Linked DNA regions of Daphnia pulex. The main gene of each other region encodes a partner of the protein of the gene in region 2 in a complex. Links are inferred from orthologs where the notes say so. Each region holds a gene or a part of one and is shown on either strand. Other genes may lie near its edges.

Region 1 (3,645 bases), on a different chromosome or scaffold from region 2:
AATTTAGTGCCAGCCAAATGGAAATGAATCCAATCCGTCGAGCATATCGTTTTCCCCTTGATTTTGTCTTCTCTAAACTTCAATCTAGATTGGTAAGTAATAATAAGTATTAACAGAACTTAAAACTTTTGTTATGGGTAACATTTCCCCGATTTAGTTCGAGCAGATGTAATGTGAACTAAAACACTTTACTTTTAAAAATTAATTAACTGTCCATTTTGTGGTTGTGAGACTACTACATAATTCATAAAATCTGTGTTCTAATTCTTTTTCTTATTCATAGGGCGACAAAACTCAGATTACTCGCTATTGGGTTGGTAAATATCTTCTTGCTGGATGGCTGGTTTTGGGAATTACCTACAATCTGAAGTACAACTCTCATGTAAGTATTTGCCTCTAATAGTGGACAGCACCCAAAATACTACATTTTAACTTTTAGGACTGGACTCGCAAGAAAGGATTTGCAATTTTCGGCTCCAGACCCGCAGTTTACCCAGGAGATCCGAACTTCCCTAAAGTTTCCGATAAAATGAAGCCTTCTGACTACGCCGACTACGGATTCAAAAACTCCCCCATTTAGATTCTATTTCATGTTTCATACGTGGTTGGAAGAAGTAGTGAAAAACACAAATCCTGCTGTACAGAAGAGAGAATAGAAAAAAGGGTCAAATGTATTTGAAATCATTTCTTTTTCTCTTTGATAGCTATGACATATCGTTGCGCCACCATCAAAGGCGGACTGAATCCTTCAGTATAGCTAGAATCTTCAAAAAGAACTTGGTATTCATCTTGAGCTGTTTGGGGTAATTGATTGATTACCGCTTTGTAAAAACAGGTCGTTTGTGGATACAAAGCCATGACTAAAAACAAATGTTTAGTATGTTAATAATATGCTAACGTCGGATCAGCTAAAATTTGCGATTTTTTTGTTTTGTTTTTACCAGTGGCTCCTTTTGAGAACAAAGCATCGGGATCGGTTTCAGGATTAGCTCGCATCAAAGGAAGAGGAATTACTCTGCGTTTGCTTAAAGTGTGTCGCTCTTTCTGTTCCTCGTCAATATCATCCACTTCATAGCGCCCAGAAGAAGCTAAATATTGAACGACTTCTGCCAAAATCCAATTCTCATCGCCGTCTGTACTCTTTACCAAAGCCGCAACAATATCTCCCAGCTGACATACATATAAGGTGTTTCGGTTAGTCAATTAACAGTTTATGACATTCGAATAATGTAATACTTTGGCAACGTAAGTTGGGTCAGCTGGAACTGCTCCACATAATGCTGGTGGCTGTTGTCCTGACTTACTGATCCACAGCGGGAGAGTTTGAGCAGTAACGAGAAGCATTTTCATGAGAGCACCTCTTCTTATAGTTTCCTTACTGCCAGCTTGTTTTGCCTGAACAAGAATGTTAGTACAATGTTAGGTGAAATTTTCTAAGTTTACGTTCTTGGGAATAACCTGAATTCTCCTTTCATGTCTGATAACGCGAATTTCATAGATTTTGCTTAATGCCTTACGAATAAGGTCCTCTTCTTTTTCAGCATCAGCCACCACAGAGCAATACAGTCCTTTTAATTTAGACTGATAATTTTATAGGCATTCATTAGTGCTGATTAATTAGTGATATGGGAATAGAAATACCTTGTGATATGGAGAAATTTTGTCATCTGACTGAAGTTTTTCATGAGCTTTGATAACAGCATTTAAGTTACCTTCATTACGAACTTTCTCTTCTTGAATCTGCTTGACCAACTTGTAGATCCCCTTCAATCGTTCCTGCACCCCAATCCAAATTAGAACTAAGTAAATACCTTAACAACTGATTATATCAACCTTACTTGGACTTGCTGTGTGGCAGAATCTAATGACAAAGCCATGATGTATATGTTTAATAACAACTACCTCTCCTAAATGATGAGCTCAAACCAGCAATGATGACTGGAATCCAAGCAAAAGCCACCAAGAAAACCAAGAACTAAAGAAAATTAAATTCTGAAATTTACATATCTTTTATGCACAGAAAAATAACCTTACTAAATTAATGAAGATGAGTTTAAAAACAGTCATCGGAAATCAGCCTTCCAAACAATAAATTGAAAATCGTAACATCGGCAGTTGCTTTGTCGTCACCATGGCAACTATGGCATCAACTGTATTAGTTCCATTCGTCATTAGCAGATGGCATGAGCATGCTCAAATTGTATAACCATGGCAATAATTTCTAAATCAGGCCTTTTTTTCGAGTGGTTTTATTATATAGCCTTTGATCATTTTCAACTCTCAAATTATTTAGTTATTTTGTAGTCAGTTATTTTAATATTTTGCACATCCCTGTAAAAATGTATCGGCATTGTGTGGTAACTTTTTGGTGATGACTGACGATAACTATTCCACCAAGAAAGCTCACCTGTTAATTTTTCGATAATTTTTTTTATCTACTAAATGTATTTCACGGAGATGACGAATATTTCGTTTATTTTCCGTCCCATTCTAGTCGTCCGTGGATGCTCAGGGCTGTCACTAGGTGGCTAAATATTTCAGCGTGTTTAGGGATTGAACTATTCAGCTCTAGTGTGTTTGTTTCTAGAGGGGTGTAGGGGGATGGGTCATCAAACTGTCAAAGTCCTGAGACGACTGACAGAACAGTCTTTCTTTTGCTGTCGAGACGCTGTCCGAGAAGGTAAAATTTAGTCATTGCTGGTACTTTCTTACGTGACATTGTTGATCATAGACATGGTAATTCCATTTTTTATTCTTTAATTTTATAAAATTTAATTTTGTGTGTGGTTCAAAACGTGTAACATTGTCTTCAATTCATAATTGGTAATCGCATGTGGCCTGCTGTACATTCCCACAATGTCGTCTCTTGCTGAATGTTGCACGTTTCGTTCCATGCAGAACAGTAAAAAGTAATTATTGCTTAACTTTTTAATTCAAGACTTTGTTTCTGAATTAAAATTGTGTGACTTTGTTTCAAAAAGTAATTTAAATTTTTCTATTAACTGTTGAGCAGTAAAGCCTGAGCTTCATTACGTTTTGTTTTGCAAATTGTTTCAATTTCCAGTTGAATTATGCCAAGAGCTTTCACAGACATGCACTTAACTTGTTAGAACACTCGAGTGGGTTAGAATTTGCCTATATTTTAGTCTACTTTAAAAGTGTGTGCTACACATGTGATTTTTGTCAGGAATCAGGTCAGACATTGAATTCTCGATTTAGATGACATTTTACAACAACTATATGTTTCTAATTAAGAGCTTTTGTGAAAAGATTTGCTCAATAGAATTGTATTTTTTAAATATAAAACAGAAATTAACCCTTTCTTGTATTTGAAAATGTAATTGGTTCATTGTTTTCCTTTGAACTTGATTTACAGGATTTCTTGGTTAGTTTGATGTTGGAGCTGCCAATGGTGTTGATGCAGCGTTCATGGTGTGAGCAGTGGTTTTGCAGTCATTTTCCAGTCGAGATGTCTTGAGGGCGCGTTTTCGCAATGGAGCTTGTCAAAATGGAATTTTCGCAAATGGAGCTTGTGCAGACATTCACTTCAACATCATATTTCAATGTGATATTTACGTAATGTTGATGTTCTTGCAGTGTTGAATGGTTGTGCAAAATAGTTGATGTTGCCTGGTGGCTGTCGGA
Region 2 (3,610 bases):
TGCATGTTAAATCCAGGCATCCAACGGAAGGTAAAAGTATGTCTGAAGCATGGATCACAGAGGCTGTTATCAGTTATGATTTCTTGCACAATGACACCACAAAACCAATGCATGCGGTAGGACTAGCTGGACTAGAAATTGATCCTCAATTCAGAGGTATTCAGTTTACCAAAATCATGGTTCCTTTTTAATAACTAATTATTGAATTTTTCATTTCTATTTTAGAAGCAATAAAGGTTTTGTACAACAGAAGTAGGGTTGCCTGTATACTTCAAAAATTTTCTGATGGAGTGGATTGCTCACTTTACCCTCCACTGCCAAGTTTGGATACGACCAATTTTAAGTTGCTGAAGCATAAAGCAGAAATTGAAATCACCTCCAAATATATTGCTGGATTTGTTCCTATGCTGAACAAATTTTCACTCACTCGCATCGCAAAGATAACTTCAGAGTTATGGCGATTTTTGCTATTTTTATCGCAGGATTATTCCCATTACTACAGTTCAGTTCGCACCCTATGTGTGAGTATTCTTTATTCAGGTTTCTTGCATACAATTTTACATTAAAGTTTCCTATTTTTAGGATGAACACAACCGATCGCATCCAACAATGCACGCACGAATTTGGATGTTGAAAGTGATATTAACAATTTACGACGCAGCTTTCGCCATATTGAATTTGAAGCCCTTGCAGTACGTTTAAATTACAGTGCCAGAAGTCGATGTCCAGGAGGAGGAACACCATTTCTTCGGAATGGAGAAAAAATTGAGTTGTGTGTATTGTTGAACCGTCTGATGGCCTCAGAGACTTCCGCTGTTTGAAGAGGTTTCATCGAATTTGACCATGTCGGCTAAAAATACGGAAATTTTGTTTTAAAGAATGATTATAATTATTGTAACATTCATTTTAATCCTTTTACCTTGAACAAATCAGCATTCGCTGGAGATACTCTTGGTGCAGTGTTACGTTGAACTGCGTCACTCACTTGCCCAGCCATATTGTCTCTTCGTACTATGAAGGCCAGATCTACTATTTGTGCGATGGTTTCGTAAGCAAAGTAACTGAGAATAGACCAAGCTGTCGCACTTAAAGCAACCTCAGGAGCTGGAGAATCTTTAAGTAACCAATCTTGAAATTTACCAGAAGGCTGGCCTCTCTTAAATGAGGTAGATTTGGCCTGACAAAAACAATTCTGTTAAATCTAGATTTTGAAAAAGCAGTTAGGTTGAATCAAAATACTTGAGAATATTCAATGTACTGCCCCTTCTCCATGGCTAATGTCATTCTCTCAATCCTTTCATTTCGTTCCTTGAGGGCATCATCAGGTAACAGGAAAGGTTTAGATGGATCTGCCACATTACACAGATAACATGATGGATCAAGGTGTTGTAGGAATGCAAGAGCAGAATTCAGTTTTTTATTTCCAGTGTGAAGATCAGAAAATTCAGTCATTATGTCTTTAGGCAAATCATCTTCTTTTGCCAAATCCTTAAACCCACTGGCTTGTAAATAGGTGCAAAATCTTCTCAGTTTAACTGGACTGTGCCTAATTTAACAGAAATCACTTCAATATATTGAATAACTTGAGATATTGTTAAACTGAAGGTTACCTACCTAAGTAAGACTAGAAATTCTTTGATACCAATTTTCTTTGAGTTAATTTTAACAGCAACCTCAGACAGTGCATTCAGGAACTGAATTAGTTGTTCCTTCACAATTTTCTCTACTAATTCAGCAGTTTCTTTCAGCGAATATTTGCTGTCGCCAAATCCATACATCATTTTTTGGATTTCTAAACATGTCGAATTAAATGTAGTTAGGAAATGTTGACATTGTTGGTCGTTAATATGAACTTACCCAAGATGTACCATCCATCGGTGGAAGAATTAGTGGATACATCAGCAGCTGGCATTTTTAGGAGATTGAGAATTTTGCTAATTTTTACAAAATATCAGTTGTGTTGGTATAATTCGTGTACCAAATAGTAATATCAACCGGTGTTTTCTAAAACTCCATTTGTTATTGTTTGAAGTCTGAACTGAACCCTAAAAGAAGGTATTGTGTGGTAGTCTGCTAGCCTAGCTAGACATATTTGAATTTGCCTCAATGCCAAAGCTAATTTTGAAACTATTTCAATTTTTTTCCCAAAATTTAGTAAGGAAAAAAAAATCTTTATTTTTTATGAACTTTTGAATGAACCACGCTTTCATTAATCTTAAACATTTTTCAATTAAGAAAAAAAAAAACCAAGCGGATGCCTTCGGTACTTCGTCGACACATAGCAGACGAAAATGTCGAAAAAATCAAGGACCTTCAATTTGTAAACAAAGTGTGACAATCGAGATAGAGTCATGGCTCTTTCTCAACTTAAATCATTAGACACAAATTATCTGACAGGGGTTCGAGAAAAGCTCAACCTATTGTTAGATAAGAAAAATGCAAATCCGGAAGAAATAACAAATTTCTTGGATAATCTGAACACCCTTTTCTTCGATCTTAAAAGGAAAGAATTGGAATCGTCGTCAGTCAATGTTCAAGTAAGATTCCATAAAAGTTATATTCATTTCACTGTTTAAAATCTTATGTTTATAGGATTCTGTAATTTTAGTATCAGATGTTTTAAAAATTGTGAAACATGAAGAATCTTTTAAAGTTGCCAAGACTTGTCAAATATGGGAACAAGTTTTACAACTTCCAAATGTACACTTAACAAGTCAAGCATCAGAGCAATTAATTGATTGGATTATAAAATCCCTTAAGAATGAAAATCATTTAATATTTACTGACATTTTCAATTGTCTTGCTGTGGCAGTCAACTTCAAAGAAGTTAAACAAACTAAAGTAGGTCTGAAACTGGGAATGAATGAAAAATTTTGAACAATAATGTTTCCCATTGAAATTACTAAATTAGGCTTTGGAGAAAGTGCTTAGTCCTTCTGGATTCTTGATCAATAAATTGAATGAAGAACAACAAATCAATAATCAAACAGTTCTCATTCTGAAAATTCTCTGCAATTTTACCAACTGTTCGGGAGAAAAGGATTGGTCTACAATATCAAAGGATGTAATTAACACATGTATCATCCAGTTCATAAAATTCCAAGAGCAACACCTAAATTCCGATCCAAACAATCTTAACCTTCTCAAGGTAAAACAGTGTTTCTTATAATGTCATGAAGAAATTTCTTAACCACATTCATTTATTTTACTAGGTTCTTAGTCTTTGTTTCTATGGATTAGAGAATACATTTGTTAGATTTACTGCTTCAACAGTGGCTCATTTGGAAAGTATCTTTAGTAAGGCTGCACATTTCGGAGACCTGCTTATTTGGATATGATATATATTCTTTATCTAAGGTCTAGCACGATACTACATGCTTTTTGGAATCGCTGGTCAGCCACTAAAGTACGCTCCAATTCGTCCATCATCCCTTCCATTTGTGGAACTTTCTTCCAAGTCAGATCAGACGAAGAATCCGAAGGTGAGAAAGAAACGTCCTCCCAGCAAAGTTCAATCCAAGAATCGAGATAGCAACATCGAGGAAGTTGACATTGAAGTCCATTTCCAAACGAAAAATAAACCGTGGACAAAGAACAACATTCCTGTCAG

Evidence for each region.
Region 1: transcription initiation protein SPT3 homolog (region 2) and SAGA-associated factor 29-like share a complex: the UniProt entries of both Drosophila melanogaster proteins name them as parts of the spt-Ada-Gcn5 acetyltransferase (SAGA) complex. The link is inferred for Daphnia pulex from reciprocal best matches to the Drosophila melanogaster genes Spt3 and Sgf29.

The regions. Positions count from the first base shown.
Region 1 is NC_060019.1:9,072,332-9,075,976, reverse strand, and holds SAGA-associated factor 29-like, read right to left. Parts: upstream 2,155-3,645; 5' UTR 2,035-2,154; intron 1,976-2,034; 5' UTR 1,878-1,975; coding exon 1,839-1,877; intron 1,777-1,838; coding exon 1,642-1,776; intron 1,582-1,641; coding exon 1,459-1,581; intron 1,396-1,458; coding exon 1,237-1,395; intron 1,171-1,236; coding exon 942-1,170; intron 861-941; coding exon 682-860; 3' UTR 654-681; downstream 1-653. Other genes in the region: uncharacterized protein LOC124191408, read left to right, coding at 1-92, 284-382, 440-580. UniProt on the Drosophila melanogaster protein: Component of both the SAGA and CHAT histone acetyltransferase complexes, which both predominantly acetylate histone H3.
Region 2 is NC_060027.1:750,342-753,951, forward strand, and holds transcription initiation protein SPT3 homolog, read right to left. Parts: upstream 2,077-3,610; 5' UTR 1,913-2,076; coding exon 1,858-1,912; intron 1,793-1,857; coding exon 1,615-1,792; intron 1,547-1,614; coding exon 1,240-1,546; intron 1,178-1,239; coding exon 920-1,177; intron 881-919; exon of another isoform or gene 851-880; coding exon 704-850; 3' UTR 703-703; coding exon of another isoform or gene 583-702; 3' UTR 522-582; downstream 1-521. Other genes in the region: DALR anticodon-binding domain-containing protein 3-like, read left to right, coding at 1-156, 226-521, 583-702; HEAT repeat-containing protein 6-like, read left to right, coding at 2,352-2,537, 2,593-2,841, 2,912-3,148, 3,213-3,297, 3,358-3,610. UniProt on the Drosophila melanogaster protein: Component of the transcription regulatory complex SAGA, a multiprotein complex that activates transcription by remodeling chromatin and mediating histone acetylation and deubiquitination. The SAGA complex predominantly acetylates histone H3.